Coturnix japonica: one gene and its partner. The protein of the gene in region 1 binds, or shares a complex with, the protein of each later gene. Links are inferred from orthologs where the notes say so. Each region holds a gene or a part of one and is shown in the gene's direction. Other genes may lie near its edges. The genes, in order: AIFM1 and CHCHD4.

What was found.
Region 2: the proteins of AIFM1 (region 1) and CHCHD4 are in contact, whole or in part, in a cryo-EM structure (PDB 9GQZ), measured with the Homo sapiens proteins. The link is inferred for Coturnix japonica from reciprocal best matches to the Homo sapiens genes AIFM1 and CHCHD4. Residues at the interface, in NP_004199.1 of Homo sapiens: Pro345, Tyr347, Ser500, Ser501, Leu502, Pro503, Thr504, Val505, Gly506, Val507, Phe508, Ala509, Lys510, Glu558, Asp559, Tyr560, Asn602, Ala605, Lys606, Phe608, Asn609, Ile610, His611; in NP_001091972.1 of Homo sapiens: Arg5, Glu7, Lys9, Asp10, Arg11, Ile12, Ile13, Phe14, Val15, Thr16, Lys17, His20, Thr22, Pro23.

What each region holds. Positions count from the first base shown.
Region 1 is NC_029519.1:1,537,172-1,540,986, forward strand, and holds part of AIFM1 (apoptosis-inducing factor 1, mitochondrial), read left to right. Parts: intron 1-57; coding exon 58-188; intron 189-1,257; coding exon 1,258-1,348; intron 1,349-1,403; exon of another isoform or gene 1,404-1,574; intron 1,575-2,046; coding exon 2,047-2,131; intron 2,132-2,790; coding exon 2,791-2,867; intron 2,868-3,778; coding exon 3,779-3,815. UniProt on the Homo sapiens protein: Functions both as NADH oxidoreductase and as regulator of apoptosis.
Region 2 is NC_029527.1:8,345,730-8,349,604, reverse strand, and holds the start of CHCHD4 (mitochondrial intermembrane space import and assembly protein 40), read left to right. Parts: upstream 1-1,065; 5' UTR 1,066-1,187; coding exon 1,188-1,209; intron 1,210-3,569; coding exon 3,570-3,668; intron 3,669-3,875. Other genes in the region: TMEM43 (transmembrane protein 43), read right to left, coding at 118-267, 944-955.

The sequences.
Region 1 (3,815 bases):
TTTCTATGTTTGCCAGCACTGGTGTAGCTGACATGTCTGATGACTGCTTGTTTAAAGGTACTGATTGTGTCTGAAGATCCTGCACTGCCCTACATGCGTCCACCTCTCTCCAAAGAGCTGTGGTTTTCAGATGATCCTCACGTGACAGAAACTCTACGGTTCAAACAGTGGAATGGCAAAGAAAGGAGGTATGTGTCACTTGGGCAGGAAAGACAAAGAAGAGGGTCTATAAAGAAGCTGCTGATGATTAAAGTAGTCTTATGAGAGAACCACTGGAGAGCCCTGAAATGCTCAGAAGGCAGATCACCAGGTAGCACTGTGTTTGTGCTGAAGGCCCTGGGTGTGTGTGTATTTGTGTGTATTGTTGGTTGACTAATCCAAAAAGGAACAGAGCATTGCATGCTGTGGGCAGAATTTGTGTGGTGTTTGCACTGGGCCAGGTGACTACATTGTGCAGTTCAAAAAGCTGCAGATTCATGGAGTGTGGGTTTGCAGAGCTGTTACAGACGTGTCAGTCAAGCAACAGATCAGGCTGTAAGGCATGGTAGTTGTCAAGAAGAGTGCAGCTTAATATAAGTTAGCTCAATACTAAATTGAATTTGAGACTTGTGATTCCCTTAGATGTATGTGTAATGCTATAACACGATGGAAAGTACGATAATAATAGAGGGGCAAAATACTTTGACCAAAGCAAATGAGGATAAGCCCAAGTGCAGCAGTATAGAAACAAGGGGAAAAAACGTGCTTACCTTTAGAAGGTCTCCAGCATGCAGGGAACTCCAACAAGAGATGCCCTTACTTCCACTGCCAACCCTTAAATGAGGGCTGGGAAGAGGCATATCCTGACTCCATCCCTTTCATCCCTCAGATACACTGCATGCACCTGAGCTCCTCTGGGCTGGCCCTGCCTTCCCACCAGGTGTTCAATCACTGCTTCAAGCTCAACAGTGTTTTTGCTACAATATGCCACTAGTAGGAGAAATCCCGTGAAATAAGTTAATTGTAGAGGTGAGGATGGAGCCTTGCAGTTCAGAATGGAGCTCCTGGAACCTTGGATCCCACCGGATCCCTTTGGTATTCGTGACTGTATCTCTTTCTGATCTAAACACTAGAATGTAACAATGTGCAGCAACTAGTTCTTTGCTGTTTCTGAGGCTTGTTGTGGTTGCACACAGTTGTTTTCATGTCATTGGTGATTCCTGTATAGCTGGTACCAAAGAGTAACTGGAACACATCTGCTAATTGATCTCTTCCCAGTATATATTTCCAGCCACCGTCATTCTATGTGCAGGCTCGTGATTTGCCTTTTGTAGAGAATGGTGGAGTAGCAGTTCTCAGTGGCAAGAAGGTGAGTACTACATGTCTCGCTGTCGTTCTAATGTCATACAGTTCTTCCCAAGCAGAGCCTGTGTCTGAGCTGGAAATAAACAGCTGTAGATGGTGTTGTGGAGGTTGGCTGAGGAGAAGAATGTGGACAGTTTTCAGAAACGTGTATACAGTGAATCAGGGACTACCCTAATATTAAGGACAGCATGTGTGAAAGCAGGAGAAGCTATGAGGAGTAGTAGCTAAAGGTAAGAAGACAGTTTGTGTGTGGGATAAGAATATGTAGAGCTTAAAGACTGTGTGGCAAAATGGGAACTGAGCTGCATATGAGTTGGAAGGTGAGGTGAGTAGAATATCATCAAAGTAGTGGACTGCAGCATAAGTAAGAGCAGAGTACAGAGGCAGCAGAAAGGTGGAAAAGAGTTTATGGTTTCCTCAGTTCTTTATATCTTGCTAAAACAAAGAATGTAGTCTTCTCACTGCTGAATTGTTTCTTACATTCATATCCTGCGGTGATCAGTCCAATCTGTCATTGCTACCAAAAGAAACTGAATTCCTATTGCCAGTTCCCCCCTCCCTGAAAAATTACAGAGCATTTCAAAGGTGTGAAAATGGTGCTTCCAAGTATTCTTCTCTATTTGGTAGTCTGTGCAATCTGACTCAAGTAGGTGTCCTACAATGAGTGGAAGCCTGAGCTGCCCTGCTTGGTTTTCTTTGCAGGTTGTGCATATGGATGTGAGAGGCAACACTGTGAAACTCAATGATGGCACGCAGATATCCTATGATAAATGTCTAATTGCGACTGGTGAGACTTTTGTTCTGATCTCCTGTTCTTCATGTTGTGTCGGGCTTTTGATTTCAGTGGCATTAAGTGACAAGCTTCTGCCATGTGGCAGAGCAGTCACACGAAGGGCAATAATACAGACAAACGTGGTGGCGCTGGGTTTTTTACTTGCTTTGCATAAGCCAGCTTCTCTGGGACATTCAGAGTTTTACCCTGTGAAAAGCAGCAGGGAAGGAGGAAAAGGTGACTGCCCCAGCAGCTGGGTAAAGGCACTCCTCTATAGTCTGGGGTTTTCAAATCCTGCCTTTAGCAGCAGTAAGGAGAACACCCAGCTCTTAGCTTGGTAGAGCACCACTGCAGCATCCAGCACTAGCGGTTACATCCTTGTGTAGTTAATTTGGAACTGACTCTGCAGTCAGTGGAGCAAGGTGCATGGCATTAGGTTGATTGTGGGGGGTGTTTCTGTTGGCTTGTTTTAACTCAGACTGCAGACTTGTCCACTGCTTGCACTGAAGGTCTTCCATGGTGGAAACCAGAGGGCAAAAGAGAATAGAGCATACTGTAACAGCTTGAAAAGCTCAGTCCAGATGGGTGGTGGCTCTGCATTGCTGACATGGCCAGCAGTCACAAACATTTCTCTCTCCCTGTCTTCCCCCTCCTCCCTTCCACCCTGTCCTCAGGTGGTTCCCCAAGGAACCTGCCCGCCATCGAAAGGGCAGGAAAAGATGTACAACAACGGCTGACGCTGTTCCGAAAGGTAATCTACAGGCACTGCTAGACCTGGGGTGAGGCTGAGCTCATCAGAAACACTGCCAGCATTTTCAGCTTGTTAACTCTTCTGCATTGGGTCCAGGACAGCCTTGCCTTGACTACCAGCTCCCCTCAGCTGGTAACCAGGGATCCATTTGCTGTTTATTCTTTTCCCTGAGCAGGTGAATGGGATAAAGCCTGACCTCGCCCTCCCCCTTAGCCTGAAACATTCCTATCATAGACTGAAGTTTTAGCTGAGTGTTTGTGTTAGCTCTTGGGTTAGCTTAGGTAGTTTAGATACTCTAATGTCTTCTTCATGGCATTTCTTCACCTTCATCCTGCGCCTTAGGGGAAAGTGGGTGAAAGAATTGAAGTTAGTTGGCAGACTCCTAGTTTTTGTTGGAGGGATGCTTTTTGTTGACAAGCTCCACGTGTCTTGTAGGGTTTACAACAGACAGGGAGTTTCTTCCTTAGTCTGGTTCAGGGAATTAATTGAGGACAAGGAGCCCTGTGGGAATGTCGTGCCCTGCACTGGACTTGCCTTGGTCCAGTCACTGTCAGGTCTGCTGTGATCGGCTCAGCTGTGTAAGGGATGTGTAACAGAAATGTAATGGGGGACGTGGTGTTCTTACAGTACTGTGTGTGCTGTAACCTGGAGATTTCATTGCAATTTCCTCTTGACGTGTGGGAGAAAATGCTGAGATTGTGCAAGTTTTTCCCCATCACCAAACACTAGGAAGCCAGACAGTTTGGGTTTTCTCTTTCCTGTTTCTCTTTTTCTTTCTGTGCAATAGAGGAAGGAGAAACATGTCTCCCATTCTAAGTCAAGGAAAAGAGTTACTCTTATTTCAAAGGGGGAAATTGCAGCATTTTCCCACTGCCATTCCTGGTTTGAAATGGGAATAAATCTTCTTTCAGATTGAGGACTTCAAAAGTCTGGAGAAGATCTCAAGAC
Region 2 (3,875 bases), on another chromosome or scaffold:
AGCAATAAAACTACAGCATGACCATTTCCTTGACCCTATACATACAAAACTAGTTGAATGCCACCTTGGCCAACCATTTTAAAGCTGTATATAAACTCTTGATAGTACTTCACTTACTTCATTGGTAAAAAGAAGGTAGAAGGACAGAAGAAATGTCCCAAGTCCTATAAGCATGCCTCCAGAAGTCTCGCTGAGCCTCTCCAGGAACCCTGGCTTGGCCTCGCTGGTGATTTTGACATGTTCTTTTTTGCTTCCTGTGTCAGAAAACTGTTGGAGGTAAACCAGAAATGTAATATTGGTATAAAAGCAGATGGTCTGTTTCAAAAGGAGCTCTTTACCTTTGCTAAATTGCTTAACCACTGCTAAACGGCACTGCTTGCATTGGAGCTGAACCTTCCCACACTTATTAAATCACAGAATCACAGAATGACCCGGGTTGGAAGGGACCTCAAGGATCATGTAGTTCCAACCCCCTAAATGCCTTGTCCCAATTTTGATACCAGAAATACAGCCAGTAAATAGACCTTAACTAAGAAAAACAATGCCTATAGCATTGGCAAAGCACATCCCTTCACACATCCTTCAGCCTGTCTCTACGTTCCCTATTTGGTATCCACACCCAGCGACAAACTGAGTAATACTCCCAAATTCCAGACTAGCTACAGCACAGCTATAAATACCACAATGCAATCCCACAGCACACCCTGCCATAACTGCACCTTGGGGGACTAGAAGAGCTCTCAGAACAAACTTCTGCTGCTATGCTGAGCATTGCCACATTAGAACACCAACAACACAGGGTGTGAGGAGCACCACAGCTCTGTGCTGTGGGTAATACCCAAGCAGCAATAGCGGGTAGAGAGGGGAGGAGGCGAGGCCCCTCTGGAGGAGCCAAGCGGGATCTGACAGCTATTGGGATCCCCCACAGGAGCTTATCACTTACATTCCTCGACATCTTCGGCCTCTTTCCCTCACAAACCAGAGAATCCACCAACGACAACCGCTCAGCAGCAGCCGCGCCCACCTCGATGTGAGGGCGTATGCTTCCTGGTGTTAGAGTTCAGTGTGTGTTCTTCCGGAGGTCAGCGGGCACAGCGTGGAGCTGCGGCGGTGTTGGAGGAGGAGGGGAAGGACGCGGAGCCGGTCTGCGATCGCACTGAGTGTGAAAGGCAGCGGGCGGCTCCGCCATGTCCTACTGCAGGCAAGAAGGTGGGTGCCTGCGTCCTCACAATGTCACCCTGAGGCGCGGGGGCGGCGCCGCTCGAAGGGTGGAGGGGAGGCCGCGGGTTGTGTGGGTGTGGGGCACCACACGTTTCATTTCTAACCTGGGGGATGCATTTATCTTTCCCCCTTTGTGGATTGTGATTTATCTTTCCTCCCTTGGTGTGGAGTTTCATGCTGCAAAGAATGTCCTGAGTGCTGCTTTGAAAGGATAAACTCGTCACTCTGGATAGTGATTATATACTGTGATAACTTCTGGTTCTCTTTGCCTTATTATTATTAACTCACTTTATTGATATCTTGTATTTTTACCAGCTCTGTCCATTGCCTTATGGCATCCTACAAAATGAATGATAGCTGCAGTTATAGTTCATGTTATAGTTGTGGTGATGGGGTTATAGTTATACTTCATGCTAGCAGTGATGATATTTCATCCACTTCTAGTTCATTTCATGTATGAAATCCCAGCTGTTCTGCACTGTAAAGTTGGCTGGAATGCCACACGGCTGACAATAGTTTCCCTTTTTGAAAGAATCCAGGTTTATCTGCTTTTCACACCTAGTGTTCAAGACCAGGTTGGATGGGACCCTGGGCAACCTCATCTAGTAAAGGTGTATGTTTGGTGGCCCTGCCAGGCAGGGGGGTTGGAACTACATGATCCTTGAGGTCCCTTCCAACCTGGGTCATTCTGTGATTCTGTGAGACTGAATGCAAAGAAAGGGAATTACTGAACGTTTTCTGGTAGAGGTCATGCTGAAGGACAAGAAGATGCTAATTCATAACGTGCTTTGTCATTGCAGTGGCCTTTCTGAATTTGGAGCTGAAGTCTTTGGGGTGCTCATTCCAGTCTGTGAATGCTGTGTTATACATTCAGAAAAGCTTCAGTTAGATGTTCTCTTCTGCCTGTATCTGCCTTAAAGCAGTTTTCTACAACCTTACAGAGTTGTTGGGAAACTTTGCCCTGGTTGCCAGCCAAGCCTGTTTTTTTTTTCCCCCTTCATAACTACTTTGTTAAATCAAGAGTGACACAAGAGCAGGAAGTACGCTCTGTTTTTCTGCCCTTGTTAATGTTTGCAGCACCTTTCAACACAGGCTGCTCTAGACCGTTAAAGTGCTCTTTAGTATTTAATTCACATAATAATTATAGACTATGACATGACTCTGTAATGGAGGCTGCTGATCTTAATTAATATCCTGCTGAATGCTTTCTGTAGCACAGGAGAGTTTTTCCTTTCACTTTTGGTCCATTTCCATCCAGCCTCTTTAGCTGAATTTGTTCTCCCAAGAGAGCAGTAGTTTCAGATGGTTTCAAAACAGCTCTTTAACTTTGCAATCCAGTGAACTGTACAGTGATTTACAGCTGTTACAGTACTTTGCTGTGAAAAGCAGAACTCTAGAGCGAAAGGATTTGGTAGTTTCTATATATTCTAACATGTAAATGGGTAATGAGTATTACTTATGTAATGAGTGCTTTAAAAGAGGACTTCCCAAACTGTTTTATGTTCACCTCATCCTCACTTCCTTCCTGTATAACATAATAATTAGTTTCTTCTACAAGGTGCTGTGACTTTAATAATTAGTTTCTTTTACCCACGTGGGATTTGTGGCTTCATATTCAGTGGCAGTGTTGCTTAAGGTACTTCATTTTGGGTTGCTTGCACCCAGCTCCTGTCACTGTGCTGTGCTGATCCCTGACTCGGTTAAAGAGGGGAAGGAGCGGAGAAGGTGGTGTTAAAAAGCAAGTTCTCTGTGACATCTGTTAAATGCTGCCTCAGCTTGGAAATAGTGTGCAGTCCTTTACTGCTTCCGTGAGTCCTGTATGCTGATTATGGTCTCCTTTAGAAACAAATACCTGTCTTATCACATCTCTCTTCAGTGCAGTCTCTGTAGGCATCTATTTGCATTGCATAACTGTGCCATATGCAAATATTTATTGTAAATCTCTAGTGGGTTATGACTTTTTCAGTTCTTATTGAATATTGAGAATAACTTCCTACGGTTACATGGGTGTGGTACAAAGACAATGGGTTCAGTTCTATTCTCTGTTCTAGATAAATTACTACTCATCTTTTCAAGCGTAGGTTGATTTTCTCCTAGGCCTTATTTCCAGTTCTTTTATAACTTTCAGTACCTTCCCTTTGAATACTTTCCCAATTCTCTTTATACACATTTTCCTGTGAACCAGCAACTTGTAATTGAAGATGCTCAATAAGGAAAGTAGAATTCATTCAATATTAACATCAGGGCATCATGTTGAGTATCTCATTACTGTGTTCTGGTCAGCCACTTTGTCAATTACTTACTCTCAGCTTTTCCTGATCTTTTGCTTATTGTCTCCTACACAACAGGAAAGGACAAAATTATCTTTGTGACAAAGGAGGACCATGAGACACCAAGCAGTGCTGAGCTGGTCGCAGACGATCCAGATGACCCTTATGAGGAACACGGTAAGTAGCTGAACAGAATGAAAGCGGAGATTGATACACCATGTATTTCATATGCTAATTATATTAATTCATTTTTAAAGACTGAGCTAGTAGGGCAGCGGTTTCAGTAAATAAACATTTTATTCAGTAAACTGAGAAAACTATGTAGTAAATTATACAGTCAGACTCCTCTCAGTCTTAACTTCCAAATCAGGACAGCACAAATGA